2 linked regions of the Diceros bicornis minor genome follow. The protein of the gene in region 2 interacts with the protein of the main gene of each other region in a pairwise test. Links are inferred from orthologs where the notes say so. Each region holds a gene or a part of one and is shown on either strand. Other genes may lie near its edges.

The links.
Region 1: the proteins of MIA2 (region 2) and TTC23L interact in binary tests that used the Homo sapiens proteins (3 or more experiments, as listed by UniProt). The two-hybrid records come from large-scale screens. The link is inferred for Diceros bicornis minor from reciprocal best matches to the Homo sapiens genes MIA2 and TTC23L.

What each region holds. Positions count from the first base shown.
Region 1 is NC_080759.1:34,186,558-34,194,272, forward strand, and holds the start of TTC23L (tetratricopeptide repeat protein 23-like), read right to left. Parts: upstream 3,005-7,715; coding exon 2,937-3,004; intron 1-2,936.
Region 2 is NC_080744.1:10,921,239-10,928,939, forward strand, and holds the start of MIA2 (melanoma inhibitory activity protein 2), read right to left. Parts: upstream 3,010-7,701; 5' UTR 2,995-3,009; coding exon 2,880-2,994; intron 767-2,879; coding exon 633-766; intron 1-632. UniProt on the Homo sapiens protein: Plays a role in the transport of cargos that are too large to fit into COPII-coated vesicles and require specific mechanisms to be incorporated into membrane-bound carriers and exported from the endoplasmic reticulum.

The sequences.
Region 1 (7,715 bases), on a different chromosome or scaffold from region 2:
TTTCATATTTCTTAAAAGCTTCATATTTCTTAAAAGCATATTTCTTAAAAAAAAATCTGTAAAGGCTAACTAACTAAAGAGGATGTGGTCCCACCAAGGAGAGGGGCGGGAACCCCACACTGGGTCAAGAGCAGACTCAGAAGAGAAATGGCCTCCTCAGCTGTGTTAGAAGTAAACGTGTTGAGAAAGAACTGAGTAAGCTGAAAATCTCCCCCGTCCCCTCACCTGCCTCTCTCTCTCTCTCTTTCTATCTCTCTCACACACACTCACACACACACAATATAGATCTCTGACTTCAATGATGCACATAATTATGAATGGGTAATTCGAATGGTAAAGACAAAAGTCAAAAGAGTTAATCTTATACAACAGAAGAGATAACCATATCCTAACATAACCAGAAAAATCAAAGTGAGCCATAAGAAACCGAATTCTGAGATCTTAAGAGCAACGTGAGAAATTTAATTAATTATAAGTAAGTCCCCAAAAGGAATTACCTTTGTATTCTCAATAGTTTTTAAATTTCAACCCTTGCATAGTTTTTAAAATAAAATTTAACTTCCTTTTCCACTGATTAGATAAGTAATAGATGTTCACTGTAAAAAAAAAAAAAAAAAAGAAAATTCAGAAAGGAAAATAAGTAAGTGTAATCTTTTACACCACGTTTGAAAATGACATGTTAATATCCACACAGAGTCCTGTTCTAAATAACCTAGCCAGAAGCATGTGGGCAAACCAGGTCATGTGGATAGGAGAGCAAGATTTCTTCAAGCCAAGCCCTGGCAGGATTGCCTTCTGCCCACAAACAGAAGTGTGCTTTCAGAAGACATGCAAACTCAATGAAAAAGCCAGGGAAGGCTGGCGATGCGATGTGATCAGAAGATGCCTCTGCTCTGCCTGGTGAATTCTGTACTCCCCCTTCAGGACCCACTCACATGTCACCTCGGCTCAAGCCTCACAGTGGATTAGCAGTAGAGACACTCTCCAAAGGGCATGCAAAAATTTCCTCTCAACTTCTACTATAGCGTAAATCACACTATAGTCTCATTTTCAAAACTCATTTGTTTTGTTTCTGAGTCTTCTTTACTTTCCAGCAAGTAAACTCCAACAGGGCCAGGGCTGAGTCTTATTTGTTTCTGAAACCCTGATACCTAGCTCACAGGTAAAACAAATGATGGCTTGTTAAATGATGAGCCAATGAATGAAAAAACAAAGTGCAAAGTCTTTAGGATGCTTGAAAAATATTGCTGGTGGAGGAAATCTGTGGAAAGAGACCATAACTCAAAAAACCTAACAGAAAGAAAATTTAGTCCCTCAATAGAAGATTTTGCGTAGGCTGCATATTTCACAGACCTGGAGCAGAAGTCAAATCTATTGGAGTCACCAAAGAGATAGCTAATTATGGATATTAAAAATTATTAAGTCCTAAATGTTTTAAATTCAGGCTTAAACAAAATTAAGCTGAGACCAAGGCAGCAAGCTTCAACAATGGAGACTTCAAAGGAAGGAGAAACATCAAGGTCTTGACAAATGATTTGACAATGCAGAGCCCTGAACTAGTGTGAAACAGAAGAAAGATAGAGAATATTGAACAGTCAGATATCTCGCAGGACAGTCAGAATAAAGAGAGTAGGTAGGTTGAATGAAAGGTCTGCCTTGCCAGGTTTACAACTTATTCTATATGTTCCCATCATGACTATGAATTCTGACTAGTAATATTAAATATGAATTATCTGATTATTTCCAAGATACTCTCTGTGAACTCTACATTTTTAACTTCAATTCTTATAGTTATATAACACTTAACCTCAAGACCTTTTCTGAGGTAGTACAGAATTACACTATTCCATACAGTAACCACCAGCCACATTAAGAAACACCAGCTATTAGGCACATGCAATGTGGCTAGTCTGAATCGAGGTGCGCTGTAAGTGCAAAACACACACTGAATTTCAAAGACTTAGTATGAAAAATGTGTAAAATATTTCATTAATTATTTTATATAACATTTGGATATATTGAGATAAATATAGTATTAAAATTATATTCAATTGTTTCTTTTTATGTTTTAATATAGCTACTAGAAAATTTAAAATTACATTTGTGGCTTGCATTATATTTCTATTCAACAGCATTGGTATAGAGCAATGGTTCTCAACGAAGGGTGATTTTGCCCCCAGGGGACATTTGGCAATGTCTAGAGACATTTTTGCTTGTCACAACTGGGGCACTGCTACTGGCATCTAGTGGGTAGAGACCAGGGATGATGCTAAACATCCTACAATGCACAGGACAGAGTCCCACAACAGAGTTATCTAACCCAAAACGTCAGTGGTGCCAAGGCTGAGAAACACTGTTATAGAGGCTAACGAGTGGTTAACGAGTGGACTCCAGAGTCAGACTACTCAATTTGAATACCACTTACGAGCCATGTGACTTTGGACAAACTGCCTGATCTCTCTTTGATTCATACTCCTTATCTATAAAAAAGGCTAATAACAGTACCTCCCTCACAGGGTTGTTGGGGGAATTAAATGAGTTAACAGGTGTACTTACAACAGTGTTTGCCACATAGCATTTGCTCAATAAGTATTAGCTATTATGATGTGAAATTTTCTATTGTCTATTTCATGAAACAATTTTAATTTACTTTGTGATATATAATTCTCTGTGACTTTACCAATCTTGTTATAATTAACCTATCTTCATAAAAAAATTAAAATTTCCCTTAAGTTAGGAAAAAACAGCTATTTTCCATCTTGCATAAGTACAAGTGGATATTACAGCAGAATCATTATTAAACACATCACAGAAGCTCAGCTTTCTCTTCTAAATAATGTGTGTGCAAAGTTCCTCACCCAGGTTTGCCTTACGTGGGAGGTCCCAGTGTTTCAGGCCAGTGAGCGAGTGTGACGTCAAGGTTCTGTGGTACTTACAGATGGAAGCAGAAGTCCCAGTCGGTGTCACTGCTGACAGTTGGGATGCGGATGGGACTGGCTTGCATCTTCTTCCTTCTAAGAATCGCATGTGAGGTCAGCTTTGGAAGAAAGGGCTTACAAGTCTGTTCTATTTTCCCTCTGTTGGACGCTATTAACATTAAACTGAAACTGTGTGAAGATATAACCCATCCTAAATCTACAAACAGCCTATGCACACTCATGTACGGAGACCCCTGGAAAGGAGAAATTAAAGACATTTGCCAAATTAAATCTGTGAATTAAATTTCTTTCCTTTAATTTCTACTCCACATTACCTCCAAAATCCCTGACCTATTTTTTTACCCCTTAAGCCAACACATTTACAGCTCCTGAATCATCAAAACTATGGTCTCCTACTCAAGTCAGATACTGTTTTTGCAAGTATGAGCAAGATGGATCCAAGCAAAGCAACCAGCTCTCAGTACTAAATGAAGTATGGCCAGGGTATTAGCTAATTCTCCTGGTCCCTAGCACCATCTCACTATTTAATAGGTGGTCCTAGTTAAGAAGCTAAAACACATGTGTCTATCTGGATTGCTCTCATTAGCTGATGGGGGAAATGGCTGAAACTCATGGCAAAAAATTTGGCTTATGGGGCCAGCCTGGCCGTGTAGCGGTTAAGTTCCTGCACTCTGCTTCAGGAGCCCGGGGTTTGCGGATTCAGATCCTGGGCACTGACCTATGCAGGGCATATCAAGCCATGCTGTGGCAGAGGAAGATGGGCACAGATGTCAGCTCAGGGCCAGTCTTCCGCAGCAAAAAGAGGAGGATTGGCAACAGATGTTAGCTCAGGGGAAAAAAAAAACTGATTTATAACTATTTGTGAACTTCAACCTTCATGGCTATCCCTGTCGCTTAAATCCAAATTGAATGCACAGTTATTTACTGAACATTAACACCCACCACGTCGCTCCTCATTTCACCCTGCAGAATGGGACTCATTCCCACCTGAGCCCTCAGTAGCTCTCTCTGACTCAGGCTCCAAAACATCCACAATCCACAAACGAGAAGGGAAGATTCACTAATTTCTCTTTCCAATCGCTACCTTCAAAATTATGGCCAGAGAGAGGGTTTCGACTTCTCAAACTCCTCATTTCTGTTCCTATGAGGTTCCACACGGCCCTGAATTATAACACCAAACTTCGGCCCCTCTCTCAAGTGCAAATCGCTGCCTTCTTTTCGGCAGTTGTTTCGCCGTAACTTTAAACCCTGACGCCACACCCCGAGCATCGTCGGAGCTTCCCCAGGCTTCTCTCCTGCGGGGAGTGCCCCGCCGCAGAGGCTCTGGCCGGAAAGCTGGGGGAGGGCGGCTGCGGGCCAGCGTCGCGCGGCGTACCTGGCGGGGGGCAGAGAAGCCACGCCCCGGAGCAGCCTCCCCGGCTCCCTGTACCCCGCAGCTCGGCTGCCTCGGGCGGCGTCAGCGTCTCGGCCTCGGCGGACGTCGTGCAGCGCGCCGCAAGCGTGTCTTGAGGAAGCGAGGCGCTCTGCAGGGTCTGCCTTTCGCGCCGGCCGCCCGGGCGCCGGCTCGGAAACAATGGGGTTGCCATGGGAACGGGACGCTGGGAGCGTCGGCGCCTGTAGCCATGGCGACGCGGGGGCCGGAATCCCCGGCGGCTCCTGCCAACTACAGCTTCCGCCGCGCCCTTCGCTTCCCGGTCACGACGCACGCGACATTAGGCCGGTCCCCAAACTTCCCTCTGCTGCGGCGGAATCGTCCACTATTGTTTTTCTTAAAGGGACTTTACCTCTCGGAGATGAAGACGCAGGGAGAGGAGATAAATCGCGTCAAAGGATGGAAATAAGCGCCGGGCCCCACGACCCTATTTATTTCAAGCTGCGACGCACCGGGCTGTATTCGGCGACACCGTGCACCCCCGCAGTTCCCCGGGTGTTCTGGCTCCGGCCAGGGAGGAAAGGCTCAGATATAACCATTGATGGTGCTGGCACTGTCTGTTGCCTCTGCGGATGAGAATGTGAGCTATGCTTCGTTAGGAAGGCGGAGTACAGGAAGGGAGTAGCTTAAGAAATGGACCACTAGTTCTGCTAGTTGTTAGCAGTTCAGAGAATATTTTCGAGGGTGGTGGGCACATTTGGCAAACACCACATACCTAAGTTACGCAGCCGTGTATTCTTATATTACCCCTCTTCAGTGGCCCAAAGTACATACAGTGGTGACGGTAACTCAGATCTGACAGGGGCAGGGACAGTTGTGGCCAATACCCTAAAGAACAGCGCTGGCTCCGGCAGCCTCGCGTTTAAGGGTGTTGTCATGAGCCCTGCAATGAACTGAGGACCTATGAATGGACAAGTCAAGTTGGAGTTGGTTATGTCCCTCTCGTTTTCACAGAAGAGCAGGCTCGGACGAGACAGGAGGAAAATATTTACTAAGAACTTGAAAGGTCGTGTTTACATTTGGTGTTCTTTTCAGTTCTAAGGTTGAAGTTTAATTACTCTTGATCCAAGACTGCCAAGATAGCCTTTCTGGAGTTAGGTTGGAGGAGCGATTTAAATAAGTTGGCTTAAAAATCTCTTGAGTAAAACCTGGTGGGCCTGTTGGCAGAAGGTTTAAATCTCCTCAAGCTCCTGGGCCAAAAGTTTAGAAAGATCCCACTCCTTTTATTCTGTTTCCTAAGGAAACTGTCAGCATGGAACCATCATGAGAGCAATGAACTTGGTTTCAAGATGTCAAGGTTCTGGTTTTGACTTGATGTGGCCTGGGGCAAGTCACAGCCTAGGGGACCCAATTTTCTTGCCTATACAGTGACGGTATTTGTACCCCTTGCTTTCTAAAACCCCTTTCAGTTTCAGGATTCTGTGAGGGTAAACTGCAGATTTTTGTGACTCTATCAACAATATTTAACATGTGTGGTGATAAAAAGGAAGAACCAGTTTCCTGTTCTCTAATTCTTATTTCGCTTACCCTTGTTAAGTTGCTCTTTATCAAACTGAAAACTTGAAGTGTTCTGTCCTTCTAGGAGATGGCTATGAGGTGGTTTCTAAGCGTGTTAAACGTGGCGTCTCTTTCCTCAACACTCGCTTTTGCCGATCATTGTAAAGGGACGTGCGGGACCAGAACAGGTGCTGAATTCCCGTTCCTAAAGCTGACACACCGTCTCCTCCAGAATTTAATTAGCTCTGGCCAGAAGCACGTTGCTCTGATCTGTAAAGAGTAGAAATCAAATTAAAGGGGCCGGCCCTGTGGCTTAGCGGTTAAGTGCACACGCTCCGCTGCTGGCAGCCCGGGTTCCGAACCCCCGGTGCGCACGGACGCACCGCTTCTCCGGCCATGCTGAGACCGCGTCCCACATACAGCAACTAGAAGGATGTGCAGCTATGACATACAACTATCTCCTGGGGCTTTGGGGGGAAAAAAAATAAATAAGTAAAATCTTAAAAAAAAAAATCAAATTAAAGGAACTGTAAAGACTCTTAGCGTTGCAAACCCCTGTGATATTTTTTCCTTCTCTTGCCCTCTGAACCCTGGCGGCAAATGGAAGCTTAGTTAGAGCAGGTGTGCTTGAGCTTTGTTCACTGACGCTGGGATGTGGTGCGTGTAATCTAGGTGGATGGTGTTGTCACGATGTATTCACTCACATTCCCTCCCTTGATCCTGAGGTCAAAGAAGCAAGCATTGCTATTGCAGAAATCACACAAAGGAAGCCTGTGGAGAGGGTACTTCTAGACTCTTCCAACCCAGATCAAGTGTGATGATCTCCAAATTATTCCAACTCGAGGAAGTGTGAAACTTAAGAAGAAGGAAATGCGCATAACCTGTCTCTTGGACTGTGTAATTTCTTGAAACAGATTTTCTGGCCTCTCAAGACAGGGTTAGATGCCTTACTTCTGAGCTCCCACAGTATCCTGTCCACAGTTGCATCATGACACTCACCACACTATATTGGCCCTCTCTGTTTACTTGCAAGTTTCTCACGCCATGCATCTGTCCATCCACCCAGACAGAAATACCTATTGAATACTTACTACGTGCCTGATACTGTTGTAAGCATTAGGGAAGCAATATGGACAAATAGACAAAGATTTTGCTCTCCTGGAGCTTCTGCTCTACTGGGTGAAGAAAAACACAGGGCTGCTGGTAAACAATATGACGTCTGTGCAAGTTAGAAAAAGGTGCATGGCTTGGCTTAGGGAATAGGCAGCCACTTCGTGTTTATTAGGAAAAAGCCTCTTCCTTTAGTTAGACTCAGGCCCCTGCTAAGGGAGAAAACCTTGGGAACAGAGGGTGGGCTGGATTTCAGGACTCACTCACTCCCTCCCTCAGCTAGCTGAACCACCTTACATGGAAGTGATAAATGATATGGAGAAAGATAAAGCCAAGTAATGGGTCTAGGAGGTGATGTGAGCCTGTGGGGAGGGTGTGCTAGCTTATATAGTGTAGTTAATGAGGGCCTCTGACAAGGTGCAGAGACCTCAAGGAAATAAGGGAGCAAGTCATGTGAATGTCCAGAAGAGCAGCGGAAGATGTTAACAGCAAGTGCAAAGGCCCTAAGGCAGGAGCAAGTTTAATGGGTTCAAGGAAGCACAAAAGAGCAATTAAGAATGAGAAGGTGAAACAGAATTGGTCAGCGGAAGAGCAGGACATCAGGTCATGCAGGGCCTTATAGGCAATCTATGCATATAAATATCCATCCACCCCCCCCAACCCCCCAGTGAATACTGAATACCTACTAGATGGCAGGCCCTGTTTGATGAGCTATGAGCGCCTTGTGAGCAGGAGCT
Region 2 (7,701 bases):
CATTGGCAGCACCAAGGAATCCCTGGGGTTGCCTAGCTATCTCATAATCTCCATCAGTAACTCTGAAGTAGGTAAATTTACTCTCCAAGTAAATATAAAATCTAAGTTCAAAAACCACACATGCTATGTAAAATAATTTCAAGGCATTCTTAGTCCTCCATCCCAACCAGACTGCTTTCCCAAAATTCTGCTTTTATGGAAATTCTGGAACCAACACTGAATATGACCATTTTTTGCTTGTTTAAATATGTTAAATGTTATATACCTATATATATACCTATATATCACTTTGAAATTCTTAAAGTTTCTTTTTTTGTGTGTGAGGAAGACCAGCCCTGAGCTAACATCTGATGCCAATCCTCCTCTTTTTTGCTGAGGAAGACTGGCCCTGAGCTAACATCCGTGCCCATCTTCCTCTACTTTATATGGGATGCCTGCCACAGCGTGGCTTAACAAGCAGTACACGCCTGGGATCTGAACCAGTGAACCCCAGGCCACCACAGCAGAGCGCGCGCACTTAACCACTTGCGCCACCGGGCTGCCCAGGAAAGTTTCTTTAGGGATGAAAAGCGAGCATCCTTGTGCAAGTTGGTCATTTATTCTGCATTCAATTTTTAAGACTAGATACTTACACTTCCTGCCCACAAATCTTCCCTTTCTCCTGCAAGTTTAATATAAACAGATATCTCTTCTCCCTTAGTGAAGTTCAGGTATCGGCAGTCAGGTCCTCTGTAATCTCTCAAGGCTAAGACTCTGCTTATTAAAGCTATGTAAGAAAAACACAAAATTTAAATTAAAATGTCATTTCTCTGCCTCCCATCTTGCCCTCCTCCAATCCATCCTATGTATTTCCAAATGCTAATTTCTTCATAACATTTATGAACTCAAAAACCTACATAGACTTCCCGCTGCTCACAGAATCAATTCTAAGCTCTTTGGCTTGGTATTCAAGGCTGTCCATAACCTGCTCCTTCTTCCCCACTTAAAATGACTTCCTCTTATTTCTTTACAGTCAAGCTCATCTATCCATTGTCCCTGGAATGTGTCGCTGTCATTCTCGTCAGTAGGGAAGGGAAGGAAAAGATCATTAGTTTTCTCCCCAGCACCTACTATATTCTAGGCATTATGATAAGCTCTTTCCTATCTTTATTTTATTAAATCCTCAAAACAGACCTATGAGGTAAATAATCTCATCTTAGGCTAACACATGAGCCTTTAACTACGTCTTAGAGGAGCCAGATTTGCACTGAGGCTCTCTTCACTCACCATCCACGTTCCATATTCTGTGCTTTTCTTTCTGCCCCTTCAGTCTCTCTTCAGGGTCAACTCATATCCTACTTCCTCTATGAGACATCCCTAATCAGTCCAGCCTACTCTGCCCCTTCTCTGAACTTCATTCTTTTTTTTTTTTTGTGAGGAAGATCAGCCCTGTGCTAACATCTGCCAATCCTCCTCTTTTTTTTGCTGAGGAAGACTGGCCCTGGGCTAACATCCGTGCCCATCTTCCTCTACTTTATATGGGACGCCGCCACAGCATGGCTTGCCAAGCGGTGTGTTGGTGCTCCCCTGGGATCCGAAGCGGTGAACCCCAGTCCGCCACAGCGGAGTGCGAGCATCTAACCACTTGCGCCACCGGGCCAGCCCCTGAACTTCATTCTTATGTTGTATCACTATTTATTGTTTCATATTGACCTGTCCTGTCACCATTCACTAGAATGAAAATTCTTGGAGGGCAAGAAACTTATATTTTATTTTCTTCTTCTTAGATCAAAACCCCCCAGCCCCTCAGACCCAGCACATGACAGGCCCTCAATAACCATGAATGATCATAACCACATATGCTAGATTTAGGCCTTTAACACATAAAGTAATATACATACCATATTAACTATTATAATTATACTAACATATGTAAAACATTTTAATTAAGTCATGCAATTAAAGTTAAAATAACATTATATATTACTATAAATTTGAATGTTCCCTTTCCATGTTCTGTGTCTGGCCCTAAGGAAACTAAAATGAGATTGTAAAGAGGGAAAGAAAGATTATTATTATTATTTAAAAAATCTAGTAAACTTTCTCTATATATTACATTACATATCCAAATGATTAAGGAAAATGTTTACTCAAAAAATTTACTTATAAATTATTTATGTTTATACTAATAATATTTTGCACTTTTAATTTACATGTTGCAAATTAGAAATAATTCTCACATACCGAAGAGATAGAACATATTTAAAGCAATTTTAATATATTGGGATGCTATTCATTCTGCACCATAATGCTAATAACAGAAAATTAAGTTTTTAAGCAATAAAATGAAAATTAATTTCTCTTGGTAAAATATAGAAGTTTAATATTCAAGGATATAAATAAAATTATGTACTCCTAACACTAATTTCAGTATTTTTACTTAATAAGTAGACACAGAAATGATTAATGTTTGATAAAATTTAGACAATAAATCACAATGGTTTGAAATAAAAACATTTTTAGAAAACTAAAAAATATAAGGGCTTCATAAATAAAGAACTATTAAATGGCTTGATATCTTTTTTAATGCAAATCAATTACATTTATCTTATAAAACAGTAAAAGATCTGATTTGTGTGTTTTTGAGGTCTGGATTAATATTTTTATAATTTCTGATATATTTATGTACCAGGCTGATCTTTGCCCCTTTGTATATTTGCATTAAAAACTATCACAAAATGCTTTGCCTCCAGCATTTCCTTTTTATAGTGAACCATACTTTATAATTGCAAATATTTTGTAACGAATTAATGCTCATTTTTATCATACATGTCCACAATAACATTTTATGTCATTTCAGAGCCTCAGTTTAAGAGGGAAAAAAAAGCAAAGCAACTTACTTTCACATTCCAAGTCACCACATTTTTTAAAGTCGGCCAGCAGTTTTGTGCCTTCCAGACACTTTGTCAGAGAAATAATCAAAAGGAGGATTCTGTGAACTCCCAGCTCCGCCATGCTAAAACAAGCAGGAACCCCAAACAAGGTTTAAACCGACTGTTTAGGCTGTAGGTCCGCCAGCCCAAACAGGAGACATCCCACTCTCTTCACTAAATACAAGAGAAAGGGGTTTGGTTCTTTTTAATCCCTTCGTAACTACATTTTTCTATCAGTGTTTAGGCTTACCTTGAGAGAAAAACACTCTCCGTTCTCAATCTGCAGTGTCAGGTATCCAGATAATACCTAAGGGTTTAATAATTAACAGAGATTTTTAGTTGGACTCACGTCTTACAAAGGTGGCCCATGTAACACTGTCTCCCTTAAAGGCACCTGGCATTCCGCAGGACAATTCCTAAGCAGGCCTCCACAAAAAGGCAGTTCATTTCTCTCTTCAGGGAGCTCGGTCAAAACGTACAAACTGAGTGTTTGCTGCATGCAGACACCAGCATCAGTGGAGAAAGTATATAGTTACATGTAGAAGCAGTAATCATTTATGTTAAAAGCATGGTTTTGAAATATCATGATGAAAGTTATTTGAAAAAATATCCCACTTTCATATTTTAAAAATCTTTGGTGTTATTACGAAGTTGAAACTTGTATTTAGTTAAGAATAATAGTTACGGGGCCGGCCCCGTGGTCTAGTGGTTAAGTCTGGCAAGCTCTGCCCCAGGGTCACAGGTTCAGATTCCTGGCACGGACTGACACCACTCACCAGTGGCCATGCTGTGGCGGGGACCCACAGACAAAATAGAGGGCGATTGGCACAGATGTTAGCTCAAGGCGAATCTTCCTCAGGGGGAAAAAAAAAGAATAATAATTAAAATGTAGTAAGTACTTATTATGTCCCAGCTACTGTCTTAATCACTTAATCATGTGATCAGATTTAACCCTCACACCAACTCTCTAAAGCGGGTAATATTATCATCCCCATTTTTGCATATGAGGAAACTGAGGTACATAGAGATGGGCTAAATCACTTGCCCAGTGTCACACAGGGAGTGGAGAAGAATTTAAACCTCAGCCCTGCGACTCCCCTTACTCATAACCGCTGTGTCTTACCACCAAGAATCAAGTCATCTGCCACAGAAAGATGTCCACGCTCTCTGCAACAATGCTATTCCAGGAACAGCAAGTACAGGCTTATTCCATATTTAAAATTGCATACATTTTTCTGTAGGTGGAGAGAATGAGAGAGATGTCTGAAAGAATCTTCCTCCATACGGTAGGAGTACACAGTGTGCTTTCAAGTTGTATTCACTTTCTTCTTTGTACTTTTCTATATTGTTTGACTTTTTTAAAATCAGTGAGGATGTATCATTTTAAAATAACAGTAAACCTATGAAAATCACGTTATTTGAATGTTATTATGGTTTACAAAAGGGATCAAAGCCCTATATTGGGAATTTTTGTGTAAAACACTAGATCTCAGTAGATTTTCAGAAACCACAGTTGTCGTACTTCACTCTTGAGAAAATATTTTTCTAAGCCTTTTTTTGCTGTACCCTCTCACTGTATCTCAGGCCTATCAGCGTGTAATCGGTTTACAGAATGCAGCCCTTGTATGACACCACACCTCCCTCTAGTGCCTGACATAAACAAGACAAATATCCAGTACCTGAGCAAACTAAAGTAAAGGACTTTTGCTTTCAAAGTCCTAAAAAAGGACGTGTGTTTTCTGTTTGTTTGTTTTCCAAAAACAATAATTAGTAGGAAGCCTGCTTTCTCGGATCAAAGATTTTTACGTCCTTAGGATCTGATAGAGCATGAATTTGAGGATCATTGGCTTGCACTCAGAGCACGGCATAGCTGTGCACATCCACACTCAAAAAGATGTAGCTTAGTTTCTTGAATACTTTTGCAAATCTATAGGCTATGTCGTCAAAGACATTTAAAGAAAGATTAGCTCTTCAGCTTCAAAATTTGGCACAGGGTTATTAGCATAATTTATAACATCAAATAGAGAATATTTCATAATTAATATACTTTATCCTTTATTGTATTCAATATTAAAGACATTACAGCTCAATTCTGCACCAATTAATTTAGTTATATTGTAAGTTAAGACAGAGAAGAACCCAGATAAATTTAAATTTGTCTATTGATTGGCCTGAAGGAGATTTGAGTCAAGAAAAACGAGAAAAATTGTTGCCTAAGATAGCAGCCTGGAGAGATTTGCTTTTATAGAAATGCTCCCACTTTCTTGCTACTTGATGCACTCAGATGATCTCATTCCATGTTTAGATTGTTATTTAAATATATCCTAACAAGATATCTGAAAATGTGGTAGCACAATGGTAACTGTATCCAACAGACTCGGATGAAGAGGTGATGGAGGAAGGGATAAGAGCATTTAGTTTAAAGAAACCAAAGTATCGAACTTTCACTATAACAACAGTCATGTTAATTTAGCCAGGTATTATCTAATTGCTGATGCATTTTTCAGATCAAGTGTTGTGTCAATATTAAAATATAATACTGCTGCTGAGGAAGATTTTATGGTAACAGTCAGGAATACTGATTTGGAAAGCCTGTAGCATTCTTCAGAAACCATACAGGAGGTAAGAGAACCTACTGCATAAAGCTAAAGAATGAATCATCAAAGCCACATATGTTCAGTATCTCAGCAATAGTATCACAGAGCAACCCTTTCCACGAGAATGTAAAGATATCATCACCAATGCTGCACTTCTACTGCTTGGTAAGGTTATTTCTGACTCTGTATAGTACTGTCTTCTCTCTCAATACCTCAGATTTCCTGAAGTGGGAACATATTTCCTTCCACCAGCTGTCTGTTAGTCTGGCAATTTATAAGATAGAGAAATTTGATTAGAAGTTGCTTGGGGAAAGCTGAGCTGAGGAAGCCAGGGTGTTTTTTTCTAGGGAGGGGGCACTAGGACAGAGCCTTTGGAAACAGTTCCCGTGGCAGACAGCTGTGCAGTGTGAGATCAAGCCCAGGAGAGACTGAGATTCAAACTGGTGTGGAAGACATGAAGGTGGCCCCCCACGCTCCCTCTTCAAGAAGAGGCTTTCTGCGCAGCTGCAGGGAGTGCAGTTAGCAGACAGCCTCCCTCTGGCAGCTACTTCAAGGTCTGCCCCAGCTGCAGAGAGCCCCCTCACCCAAGATCGCCCCTTCCCGGTGATCTAGTGAATTTGGTGAATAAATGACGAGAGAGTACAAAGGCAGGGCTGCAATGGCAGCCTGATGTGGGCACCTCTCCCTCCAGAGCTCCTGCTGGGTTGACTGAAGCTTTGTAGAGCCTGTAGTGCAGTTTGACTTCCCCCTCTGCCCAGTCCTGCTGTCTCCCTCTTCCTTTCATAGGGGTTGATCCCTTGAATTCCAACTCTGTTTCAGCCTTTACTGCGAGAGGACCCAACCTCAGAAGCTAGTGATCCACAGGTGCAAAAAGAGGAGACGGTAGAACACGCACATTTTGGCCCATCATTTGTGCTAGTCACTCCGTGGCTCTTTTTACCTTTGCTGCTTTTGTGTTGCTGAAGGCCGTGTTTCAATTCTGCCCACTTTTTCTCATTCTGTCTGTATCAGTCAGAGTTCTAGCAGGTAACAGAAGGGTATTCCATTTTGAGGGATGGCACTCCTCAACGATTGAGGAGATTTTAATGAAGGACTATTTACAAAGGTGTGGGCAGGGTTAAGGGAAACCAACAAGGGATGTAACACCCCCAGGCCTGAAGGAACGGTGTCCACTGCCTGGAGAGAACTATAGGAGAGAGCTGCCTGGCAGGAACTTGAAGCCTTCGGTAAAGGAACTCAGACAAGAGAACCTCACTCTTCTAATTTCTGATCTGATGGTAGCACCCATTGACCAAACCCAGCCAGATGCCAGAGAATAAGGGAACCCTTTGAGGCAGTCCTAAGGTCTGTGTTCCAGGGACACAGAGCAGAGTGGCAAAGAGTGGAGAGTGGATTGGGAGGAGCAAAAAGAGAATACCCCACACACTGTCATCATTCCTTTACTATGTATTTTTGAATAATAGCATGCAACATCCTCTACATCCAAGATGATATCTGTGTGATATGTGCAGATCAGGGGACTGAATTGATTACTCTCATCAATGGGTAAGAAAGAAATTTAATGTTTGTTGAGCACCAACTTTGTATCAGTGTATGTATTTCACATACACATCTCATCTTCCAGGATGGGCTTTATTTACTGAATGCCTATGATGTGTCACTCTTCTAGGGACTAGAGGTACAGGAGTGAACAGGACAAAGTCCTTGCTCTCATGGACCTTGCATGCAAATGAAGGGAGACAGACAAGAACAAGCAAACAAATAAATGAACGAGATAATTGCAGGTACTGATAAGTTATTATGCAGAAAAGTGTCTACTTAGATAAAGTTGTCAGGGAAGGCATCTCCGGAGAGCGACATTTGACTTAAGAGGAGGGAATAGGAAGGCAGACATTCTGTGCAGGGGGAAGAATTAACGAGGAAGTCGTACTTCATTGTCTGAAGTTTGATCGCCAAAGATTTAAAGAAAAAATGAAGGAGGCATATTGGATGCATTCCAGTATGTCAGAAACAAGGCTTAAAGGTGAAACTAACAGGCATATATAATCAAGAAACATAAAGGCAGATGGAGAGTGGTAGGAGATGGAGTAGGAGACAGACAGAGGTCCAATCATGCATTTTTTGTGGAAAAGAGTGTGAGTTTCATTCTAAGTGCAGTGGGAAGCCAGAGGAAGCTTTAAGGAAGGGAATGA